3 linked regions of the Pelodiscus sinensis genome follow. The protein of the gene in region 1 interacts with the protein of each later gene in a biochemical or structural test. Links are inferred from orthologs where the notes say so. Each region holds a gene or a part of one and is shown in the gene's direction. Other genes may lie near its edges.

Evidence for each region.
Region 2: of the proteins of MAPT (region 1) and GSK3A, one has a biochemical effect on the other in vitro, tested with the Homo sapiens proteins (4 studies listed by BioGRID and IntAct). The link is inferred for Pelodiscus sinensis from reciprocal best matches to the Homo sapiens genes MAPT and GSK3A.
Region 3: of the proteins of MAPT (region 1) and mitogen-activated protein kinase 11, one has a biochemical effect on the other in vitro, tested with the Homo sapiens proteins (2 studies listed by BioGRID). The link is inferred for Pelodiscus sinensis from reciprocal best matches to the Homo sapiens genes MAPT and MAPK11.

What each region holds. Positions count from the first base shown.
Region 1 is NC_134739.1:7,126,399-7,130,142, reverse strand, and holds the start of MAPT (microtubule-associated protein tau), read left to right. Parts: upstream 1-937; 5' UTR 938-967; coding exon 968-1,835; intron 1,836-3,744. UniProt on the Homo sapiens protein: Promotes microtubule assembly and stability, and might be involved in the establishment and maintenance of neuronal polarity.
Region 2 is NW_027465888.1:163,292-167,035, reverse strand, and holds the start of GSK3A (glycogen synthase kinase-3 alpha), read left to right. Parts: upstream 1-1,096; 5' UTR 1,097-1,111; coding exon 1,112-1,313; intron 1,314-3,744. UniProt on the Homo sapiens protein: Constitutively active protein kinase that acts as a negative regulator in the hormonal control of glucose homeostasis, Wnt signaling and regulation of transcription factors and microtubules, by phosphorylating and inactivating glycogen synthase (GYS1 or GYS2), CTNNB1/beta-catenin, APC and AXIN1.
Region 3 is NC_134711.1:37,481,221-37,484,964, reverse strand, and holds the start of mitogen-activated protein kinase 11, read left to right. Parts: upstream 1-1,311; 5' UTR 1,312-1,503; coding exon 1,504-1,616; intron 1,617-3,744. UniProt on the Homo sapiens protein: Serine/threonine kinase which acts as an essential component of the MAP kinase signal transduction pathway.

The sequences.
Region 1 (3,744 bases):
ATGCAGACAGGCTACTGAACGAGAATACCCGAGCCGCTCTGTCGAGAACGTAGCAGAGGAAGACGTGGTCTAGAGAAGGGAAGATGGGTAGAATTCTGGGAGGCTGAGAGGTGTTAGAAGAGGAGGAGCTGGGGGGCGGATTTAAATTCATTTGTAACCTTGGGCAGAGGAGAATATCTGTCCCCTTACATTCTGGCCCGTGCTGCGCGAGCACATGGCTGCACAACCCACCATTATTTTGGACCGACGGAAGCAACTAACGTTTAATTTGCCGTGTGGCCAGCCTGTGAGCTTCACTGCCATTGTCCAGCGCTGTAACATGAGAGAGACTGGATGGTTTTGTGGCCTACAAAATCCTGCAGTTATGCCAGCAAAGAGAATGATAGCCAAGGCTGGCCTTTTGGGCATGCTCTGCTGGGAGAGAATCTACCCACGGGGTGCACAGAACATAACGGATTGCCCACCAGCATATTACTGAGGCAGGAGGGAGTTTTCAGCATGGGAGACAGGATAACATGATCAGCTACGGCAAATCCCATGTGTATGTTGGTACCCTGCCTCTTCCCAGCAAGGGCGCAGGCAGGCAGAGATGATGGATGATTCCATGTATATCACCAAAGCAAAGTGGTTCTGGTTTCAAGCCTATTGACAGGGACAAGATTCCTTTAAAGCCAAGAGAAGTTGCAGAATTGAATTTGCTCCTGCAAATGGCAGCGTGGAGTGGTTACAAGAAGTCTCTTAAGTTTTTTTTTTTTGTGTTGCAAGAATGACTTTCCGTTGACGTATCTATGCTAACTGTGCCACACTTGATATCCTACCCTTCCTCTTCGCCCCCACAGAGGAGCTGAGCTCCCCAAGGCCATGGGAGAGAGTGGAACTTGGAAGTCAGGAGCATGCGGCAAGGGAGATTCAGCCAGAAAAACAATCAGGTGAGGTTCTTCCGGAGACTCTTGTCCACTTGTATGAAATGGAGACTGGAGAACAGGCAGCAGAAATCCCTGCCAGTGCTGAGACCTCGATACCTGTGCCCCTGGGTATCTGTGAAGACTTCAGAGCCTCTGAAGAAAGCCAAGAGGCAATCTCCAGCACTTTGTTTACTGCGCCCTGGGACCGTGGTGGCAAAGAGGATGCTGGAGCGAGGAAAATGTTGGCCGATGACTTTGCCACATCTGCAGTTTCTGAATTCTCTCGGAGTGGTCCAAGTGATGAAATGTCCCATCGCGAGACACTTGCTACTCGGTTTGAAAAGTCGCCCCTGGGTGTTGATGATGTGGGGTATGATCCAAGGGACAGCTCCTGTATCAAAGGGGGGCCATCTCCTTTACATGCCAGCGGCAAATTGAAAGAAGAGGCCTCTGCGCAGGAAAAAGATGAGGACCGCGACATTGACGAAACTGTTCAGCAGGGTTCACCATCCTCATTATGCCGACAAGACTCGATGCTTGAAGCATTTCCCCATCCAGCCGCGGCCGAGGAAGCTGTAGAGGTGGATGCAGAAGGCAGGGAAGCTCATAAAGTGGCAGAGACTCTAGATGACACTCAACGGTGGCTGTCGGGGAAAGTGTATGATGCTGTCGTCCCGATGGAGCCCTCCGTAAGGATGTACCAAGTGGAAGTGGAAGCTAACGTAATAAGGGAGAGGGAAATCTCAGCTTCTCCACTAGAAGCAGCCACGTTTCCCGATAGGTTAAAAAAGGACGTGGCAGATGGAAGCGTTTCCGTGCAACAGGAGACGGGGGGAATGGTGCAGGCCATGGCAAAACAAGAGGCACTCAAAAAGAAACCTGCAACTCACATGTCAGAGAAACAAGTCAGTCGGGTTCCTCGTTTAAAAGGTGTGTGCATCTCGTTTTCCTGCTCCGCACTTGCTTCTCCAATGAGTTGCTTGGGGCAAGGCTGCTACAACCTCTACTGGCACCCCTTGCGTCCTGCTGCTTGAGAGTTGGCCGTAGGTGTTTGTGCCAAACGAATTCAGAGAGTGCTGCTGCTTTTCTCCCTCAGTTTATGCCTCGCCCTTGGTTTGGTTCATTGGCCTCACCCTCCGCTTCAGTTCTTGCTTGGATGCTGGCGTGCTCCCGGTTGTGCTTTTCTCCCTTTTCTTTTCAGTGTCTTTCGGTTGATCACAGCTGCTATGTAGGCTCTTTGATTTCACCCACCACTCTAAATAGATATAAAAGAAAAGTGTGAGAGGGACTTGTTCTGGGCATTAGCCTCCCTGGAGTAGCGTTGACACAGAGCAGGCTACATAGTTTCATAGCCGTTGCTAGTAAAGCGCATATGGCCAGGGGAGCCGACCCGTTCTGCGGGCCCCAGGCAAGATGGGGCGTCCAGCTCTATACACCCAAAAGGGGCGGGGCTTCAGACGGAAGGGGCGGAGCCAGAGGCAGCCAGCCCTCTGTCGCCCAGTACACGACACCTTCACCTCCTTCAGCTCTCAGAGCTGCCCAGTAGGGACGTTCGATCGCGTGTAGTCGAACAGTCGTGTTACCCCATCAAATTTTAGCAGTTACACGCCATAGTCAGCAGTCAGTGTGCACCCTTCCCCACTCCCGGGGAGCCTCCTGCCACCCTGCACTGCTGCCTCTAAATCTATTTGAAAACCCCCTTCCCATGCAGACCAGCTCCCCCTGCTGCTGCCTCCTGATTGAGGTGGCAGCAGCCCCTGTCTGTGGTTGGCCCGAGCTCCCCATGGACAGAGGCTGCTTTGCGGCAGCCTCCCCTGTTCCCTTCTCCTCTCCCCCTCCCCCCCACACACGCTGCTGTATCTAATAGAAGTAAAGTTAGGCCTGAGAACTGTGTTCCCTGTAAGTTGAGCACTTGGGTGGCCTCCCAGGAGAGATTCAGGTGCCGCCCTGCTGATTAGAGGCAGTTCTATCAGAGGCAGCAGGGTGGGGTGGGGGGGAAGGGACAGGCAGCACCGGCCTCCCCCCGCACTCTGCTGTCTCTGTAGAGGCACGCTGACATCCCAGGGCAATTGCCCCTGTGCCCCACTCGCCATTGGCGGGTTTCCGGCGAGCCAGCCCTTCGTGTCAGTGTTTCTAACAGTGCGAGAGGAGGACAGCAGGCAGGACTGTGTCCTCCCTTTGCAGGCCCAGCACTATGTGCAAGACCACCCCAGAGAGATGGCGGAGTTGTTGGGTGTATTAGAGAGGAGCGAGGTGACACTTGGCTGTGAGATGCCTAAGGGTGTCTGCCGAGAAACCTTGATGCATGTAACTGCTCCGTTAATAGCACTGCAATCAGGTCGCGCTACATTTAGGTGTTCAACTTTGTGCAACCAGGTTAGCTTAACCGGCAAGAGTAGGTGCCTAGATTCAGCCTGTTGGGGCACAAATGCCTTTGCTTGTGTGACAGGCCATTTTTCCTCTGCATTCGAGAGCTATTTCTCCTTTCATCCGAGGGAAACCTTGGGAGGTAGCCTGTTCACTAAAACATGGCTGCTCAGGAGGCTTGCAAGTTAGTGCACAGGCGTGAAAAACACAACGTGAGTTCTTTGGGGGCCAGACCAGGTGCAGCCATCCAGAGTTCGAACGTGTTTCTTCTGCTAGAGACGTGACAGTACAGTCGATTAACTGGTTAACCGATAAGCTAATGCTATAGGCTGCATGCATGTCCTTCCCCCCCCAACCTGCCAGTACATTTTTTAGCAGGCTGGCCAGCAGCCCAGCTCAGTCCTGGTTCGCGCTGGGTCCGGGGCCTACCTCCGCTGCCACTCTGCATTTATAGTGTATTGGGAGTCTGGTG
Region 2 (3,744 bases), on another chromosome or scaffold:
ACACCTAGAACCCCCCCCCGGTGCCCCGGGCAGGGTCACACGGAGCAGCCCCCCCCTGTGCCCCAGGGCAGGGGCACACCTAGAAACCCCCCCAGTGCCCCGGGCAGGGTCACACGTAGCAGCCCCCCCGTGCCCCGGGCAGGGTCACACCTAGAACCCCCCCGGGGCAGGGGCACACCTAGAACCCCCCTTGGTGCCCCAGGGCAGAGTCACACCTAGAACCCCCCTGGGCAGGGTCACACCTAGAACCCCCCCTCGGTGCCCCAGGGCAGAGTCACACCTAGAACCCCCCTGGGCAGGGTCACACCTAAAACCCCCCCGAGCCCCAGGGCAGGGTCACACCTAGAACCCCCCTGGGCAGGGTCACACCTAGAACCCCCCTCGGTGCCCCAGGGCAGGTCACACCTAGAACCCCCCCCCCCGAGCCCCAGGGCAGGGTCACACCTAGAACCCCCCCTCGGTGCCCCAGGGCAGGTCACACCTAGAACCCCCCCTCGGTGCCCCAGGGCAGGTCACACCTAGAACCCCCCCGAGCCCCAGGGCAGGTCACACCTAGAACCCCCCGAGCCCCAGGGCAGGTCACACCTAGAACCCCCCGTGCCCCAGGGCAGGGAGCGGCTCCCCATGGCCCCTGGGGGGGTTGCCAGGCTTGGAGCCCAGGACGCTCCCGGACCCCCGCTCCCCCCGCGGGGCAGAAGCTTTTGGTCTTTTCCCCGCCTGCTGGGCTCGTGCCCTGGGGGGTGCGGGGGGGGGGATCTCCGGGCCCTGCTGCCCCCGCCCGGGAGCGGGGGGAGGGGTGGAAGCGCTGGGGCACCACGTGGGGGGGGCTGGAAACCGCAGCGTCCCCCTGGGGGCGGGGCCCTGCGCTCCAACAGGGGGCAGGAACCTGGAGCTTTTGACCTCAGGGCGGGGGTTCAGGAAACTACATTTCCCGGCGGCCCGCGCGCTGGAAGGGGGCGGGGCCCGGACTCCGTTTCCCGGCGACCCGCGCGGTGGAAGGGGGCGTGGCCCGGACTCGGTTTCCGGGCGGCTCGCGCGGCCGGCAGGGGGCGGGGCTAGGCGGCGCATGCGCAGGCCGGCAGCCCCCGCCCCCCCCCCGTCCGGCCTCGCCATGAGCAGCGGCAGCGCCGGCCCCTCCCGGCCCCGGACCAGCTCGTTCGCCGACACCGCCTCGGGCGGGGCCCCCCCCGGCCCCGGAGCCCCCGCCCCGCCCGGGGCCCCCCCGGGGACAGCGCCGGGCGGCAAGGCGGGGGCGGCGGGGCCCGGGCCGGGGGGGGGCGGCGGGGCCTTCCCGCCGGGCCTGAAACTCGGCCGTGAGTGGGGGGGGCAGCGGGGGGGCCGGGCTGCGGGGGGGCCGGGGGGTCCCACGAGTGCAGCGCTGGGAGTCGAGGGCCCCGGGCGCTGTGGGGCGGGAGGCCGGAAGGGCTGGGGGGGGGGCGAGTGGCCCCGAGGGGAAGGTTTGGGGGGGGGGTGATTCCCGGGGGGGCTGAGCTGGGGGGGGGGCGGAACAGGGCGGTCAATGTTCCCTATAATTTTGTGATCCATGTGTGGAATAAATGCTGCTCTGCGCACCGAGGCCTGTGCGGATGGGCACCACCCTTAGAAACACAAACCCAGCTTTGGGCGCTTTGCTAAGCAGCTGGGAGGCTGCCCAAGTGCCCAGCTCCCAGGGAGCTCGGGGGGCAGAAGGGGCATCCATTGGAGGGCGGTTTGGGATTCCTGGGTGCATTGGGCTGGAAGAGTCGTTGGGGGTCTAGGGAGCCACTGTTTGGGGAAAGGGGGCTCTGGGGAGCTGGGGTGAAGCTAATGAAGGGCTGAGGTCAGGCTCTGCTCTTGGGTCACATTAGGAGCCAGGAGGCTGGTGAGTGGCTCTCTCATTAGATATGGACAGTACGTGTTGGGGTTCAGGGGCTTGGCTGAGCCCCCCGTCTGGACACCCCATCTCTCTGCGGGGGGGTACCTGGGGTGAGGATTGAGGCTTCTCCATAGGCATTGCAGAGGCCCCCTGGGGACTAGTTGAGCAGGAGGCGCCTGGGGTGGTCACTGCCTGCTGAGGACTGTCTGGAGCAGGAGAAGTGGTGGTGCTATGGGGAGGCTGTTGGGGTCAGTGTCTTTCGGACGGAGGGGAGATGTAGGGGTTGGGGCTGAGTGGTGTGGGCAGTGGAGAGAGGCCAGTGGCAGATGTGCCCTGGGGCTGGTGGGGGGTGGGGCATTCTGGCTCTCTAACCTGGACCCTGGGAAGATGGGATCATGGGGGAGAGGGGACCCTGGCTGAGTTTCTGCCCCCCCAGTCTCCAAGGTCAGGATTGTGGGCTTCCCTGGCCATGCCTCTAACTGCCCCCTCGACTCCAAGGGACAGCAGGAAGGGAGGTGGGGGTTGGGGGCATCTCTCCTGTGTTTCTAGCTCCTCCCTTGCCCATCCCTAGCCGGAAGGGCAGGGTGGGGGTAGGGGTGTCCCTGGCTGTATCTCCAACCCGCTCCCAGTCCCCAGGGGGCAGCAGGAGGGGCCGGGGTGGGTGTCCCTGGCTGTATCTCTAACCCGCTCCCCGTCCCCAGGGGGCAGCAGGAGGGGCTGGGGTGGGTGTCCCTGGCTGTATCTCTAACCCGCTCCCCGTCCCCAGGGGGCAGCAGGAGGGGCCGGGGTGGGTGTCCCTGGCTGTATCTCTAACCCGCTCCCAGTCCCCAGGGGGCAGCAGGAGGGGCTGGGGTGGGTGTCCCTGGCTGTATCTCTAACCTGCTCCCCGTCCCCAGGGGGCAGCAGGAGGGGCTGGGGTGGGTGTCCCTGGCTGTATCTCTAACCCGCTCCCCGTCCCCAGGGGGCAGCAGGAGGGGCCGGGGTGGGTGTCCCTGGCTGTATCTCTAACCCGCTCCCAGTCCCCAGGGGGCAGCAGGAGGGGCTGGGGTGGGTGTCCCTGGCTGTATCTCTAACCTGCTCCCAGTCCCCAGGGGGCAGCAGGAGGGGCTGGGGTGGGTGTCCCTGGCTGTATCTCTAACCCGCTCCCAGTCCCCAGGGGGCAGAGGAGGGGCTGGGGTGGGTGTCCCTGGCTGTATCTCTAACCTGCTCCCAGTCCCCAGGGGGCAGCAGGAGGGGCTGGGGTGGGTGTCCCTGGCTGTATCTCTAACCCGCTCCCAGTCCCCAGGGGGCAGCAGGAGGGGCTGGGGTGGGTGTCCCTGGCTGTATCTCTAACCTGCTCCCCGTCCCCAGGGGGCAGCAGGAGGGGCTGGGGTGGGTGTCCCTGGCTGTATCTCTAACCCGCTCCCCGTCCCCAGGGGGCAGCAGGAGGGGCTGGGGTGGGTGTCCCTGGCTGTATCTCTAACCCGCTCCCCGTCCCCAGGGGGCAGCAGGAGGGGCTGGGGTGGGTGTCCCTGGCTGTATCTCTAACCTGCTCCCAGTCCCCAGGGGGCAGCAGGAGGGGCTGGGGTGGGTGTCCCTGGCTGTATCTCTAACCCGCTCCCCGTCCCCAGGGGGCAGCAGGAGGGGCTGGGGTGGGTGTCCCTGGCTGTATCTCTAACCCACTCCCCGTCCCCAGGGGGCAGCAGGAGGGGCTGGGGTGGGTGTCCCTGGCTGTATCTCTAACCCACTCCCCGTCCCCAGGGGGCAGCAGGAGGGGCTGGGGTGGGTGTCCCTGGCTGTATCTCTAACCCACTCCCCGTCCCCAGGGGGCAGAGGAGGAGCTGGGGTGGGTGTCCCTGGCTGTATCTCTAACCTGCTCCCAGTCCCCAGGGGGCAGCAGGAGGGGCTGG
Region 3 (3,744 bases), on another chromosome or scaffold:
AGCAGAGAGGGAGCAGGCTAGGAAGGGATGGCTGAATATCAGGAAGACTGGGAGCCAGGGCCTAGGAGTAGGATACAGGCTTATCCTATTGGTGCCAGGAGGCACCTGGACTTTGTTACCTTCACATCCCTTGTTTAGATTGCCTTGCCCCAGTTGGTTGGATTGATAACTGCTGTGTTTATCTTTGTCTGTTTGTTTGTTGAAACTGTTAATCAAGTGTCCCCAGTGCTATTTCTCACAGTGGTAGTGAAACAAAATAGAGGTGGTTTTGGATGGGGAAGGGGAAATCAACTAAAAGCCAGAATCCAAAGCCCACAGGGCTTGGAGTACCTACAAAACTTGCTTTCCAGATAGAGCTATGCCCACCCAGTGACTGATGCACCACTACACACACTGACACCGTGCAGTGGGGTTGGTGACAGTGTGGTGAAACAGAATTCAGGGCAGAGCAACAAAGCGATCTGGGAAATGGAAGATTCATAAGGGGACTTATGAAGAAAGATTAAATATATATTTGGGTAAGCAGCACAAGGGGCTATAAGAAATAATGAGAAGTAACTGGGGGGGTAAATATAGGGTGAATATTTCTGTATTGCTAACTTGCCTTCAAAAATCACGAGATTGGCTTAAAAACACAAGATGGTAAAAATAAACAGGGTTCTTTTTATTTGTTTTGTGGTTTTTGAGCCTTTAGGGGTTGTGTTTGTTAAGCTTTTCATTTTAACCCTGAGTTCTTCTGTAAATGCTAGCTGACAGTCAAAATAATCAAGGGAGGCTGGGGCTTCAAGAAAAATACTACCTATTCATCATGAGATTCACCAGAAAAATTACTAACGCTGGCAAGAAGGTAAAACAGCCTGGTAGCCAGATCCGTGAGGTAGGGAGCTTCCTGCCGTATCAGTACATTTACATGAAGTGGGTCTGGCCCACGAAAGCTCATCATCTAATAAACCATCTTGTTAGTCTTTAAAGTGCTACATTGTCCTGCATTTTGCTTCAAGTACATTTACATTACATTCAATAATAGAATAGAACCCGCGAACAGCTGCTTTGGCAAAACTGGGTGACCAGGTAGGTCCCGCCTTTTCTCTCTGCGCTCTCTGCTGAATTGGAAGAGGCGGGGCAGGGGATGCCCTGATTCTTCCAGGCTCCGGCAGATAGTCTGAGCTCTGCCGGGTTCCCCTCCGCCCCCACGCTCCCAGCCTTCTGGTCTGTTGTTGTCCGCTGTGTTCATGAACCAGGGCCTGCCCCGCCCCGCCCCTTGCTGTGACTCTGTGTGTGCAGCGACATTGGCCCTGGGCTCGCATTTCTGGCTACCTTTCTACGTGCCCCTCCTCCTTTCTCCCCTCCTCTTGCCGCTTACCCCTCCCTCTGCCCCTCCCCGGTCCCTCCTCCCTGCCCCCCGCCGGCGGTGCCCGCCCGGCGCTTTCCAGCTGGAGCGCTCTGGCGGCTGAGCTGGTGCTGCTGCTGCTGCTGCTGCGGCGGCGGCTGGTGCTGCGCACAATGTCCGCGCGAGGCGGCTTCTACAAGCAGGAATTGAACAAGACGGTGTGGGAGGTTCCCCAGCGCTACCAGAACCTGACCCCGGTGGGCTCCGGAGCCTACGGCTCCGTGTGGTAAGTGCGCGCCGCGGGAGAGCTCGGGCCCCTGCCGGGGAGACAGCTCCGGGCTCCCGCCCCGGCCAGCGAGAATTGCCCTGCTCGCCTAGTGGCTGGGCGCAAACAACTCGCGGGAGCCCCTTTGCACGGCGGGTCGCTAGGCCTGGGTTGGTATCGGCGAGCCCGGGGTGGGCGTGTTTGTGAAACGCCCAGGATGCGGGGAGGGGGGGAAGGACTCTGTCAATGGGCTGCTCTGTGTGGTCGATGCGGGGTAGTCAAGCGGGGCTGGAGCAGTTTGTGCAGCGGGGCTGCTGAGGGCCATTGATCCAAACTCTAATCCTTGGGTATGATGGAAACCACTTCAAGCCAGGAAGCGCGGCAGCAATTCCAGCGCCCCTAGTTAAGCACCTCTGGCCCATAGGGTCTTTATATGAGTATCTGCTATGGACCCAATAATGCTATAGGCTTGCTCTTCCTCTCTGTACGATGCACAGGGGGTTGCTCTGTGTGTGACTTCCTCTTCCCCGCCCCCACTAGGGTTAGGCGAAGGGAGAGGAGAGCTGGGGTTGAGCGCTCACAGTAATGTTGAGCTCTGGAATTCCTCATGGGTTGCTAAGGGTAACCTGGGTCATTCCTTCTGCTGAAAAGAGGCTTCCCCTCTTTTCCCCTGTGGATTTAAGACCTTCCTGATTGCTGAGCAGCATGCATGAATTAAAGTTTGCTAGGATGATTCTTTTATTCACACTGCAATTGAGGGGAGGGCAAATCTGGTGCATTCATTTTAGGGGGTGGAGGTAAAGGTGACTGGTGCTATCTTTCAAACAACTTAATATTGCTCTCTTTAAATAAAACTTTAGGTGAGTAAATCACCGGATCCACTGTTTTCCCCCTTCAGTAGCCTTCTCACTAGTTGATATAACACTGTTGCATCACCTGAAACCTTCACCTAAAATACCTCAAGGCTCATTTAAAACTGTTTCTAGGTGCAGGGAGACAATGACGAGTTTGTTTACAGAGTCTATTCATCTGTCAAAGAATCCTTCATGTTATGTGCACATTTAGCTGAATTAAAATTGCAACACTGCCAAGGATCTTGCAGAGTCATTGTCTCTGTGAATCAGAAATAAAACCTGGCTGTTTCTTTAGAATGAGGCAGAAAAAACTAAGTGTGTTAGAGCTCAGAGATCATTTTCATGAATAGCAAAGTTCTTGTTAATGTTATGAAAAACTTCACTGTATTTTGTCATGCCTGTTTCAGGGATACTTTGTGACCCATTGTCTTGCCTGCAATTCACTTGCTCCATATTTGTGTCTATCAGGGATACTTTGTGACCCATTGTCTTGCCTGCAATTCACTTGCTCCATATTTGTGTCTAAATAATACCTGTACTCACATTTCTCTGAGTTATGTGATTTTTGACAAACAGATTAATCAGAGGGCCAGCACAAAAGTGGAGAACAAAGAAATAAATAGAATGATATATAATGTTAAACATTATTTGAGGTGACTAGTATGATATATGGAAAAGCACACAGGGATCAAATTCTGCTCTGATTTATACCCCAGATAGCCTCATTTGGCCAGATTCAGTTGTTGGATGACTATATGTACATTTGTAAAGCAGAGTTAGAAATAAAGGGTGGGGGAGATCAGATGGTTTTGTGCTGGTATTGCTCAAAATGGGCTTGGTATAAAACAAATGATTTGCAGCTCCTTTTGCTAGGTATTTATTTAAATGCTTGGATGTTGTACTGGATTGAAAATTCAATCTGTGACCCACAGAGATTAGTCTCCACTCTGAAGAAACATTACAAAGCATATAGTTTCAGAAGGGTAGTCATGTTAGTCTGTAACTGAAAAAACAACGAATAGTCCTGTAGCACCTCAGAGACTAACACGAATATAGATGCTTCAGGGGGTAGCCAAGTTAGTCTATTACAGAAAAAAACCAAAAAATGGTCTGGTAGCACTTTGTAGACTAACAAAACATGTAGATGGTATCATGAGCTTTCATGGGCACAGCCCACTTCTTCCGATAACTGGAGTTAAGGGGTCCAGGGTACAAATAAACAGCAGAGAAAGAGAGGGGATGGGAAGGGAAAGAGAAGGAAAAAAACGGGGAAAATATTGTCAATTAGTGTGTGT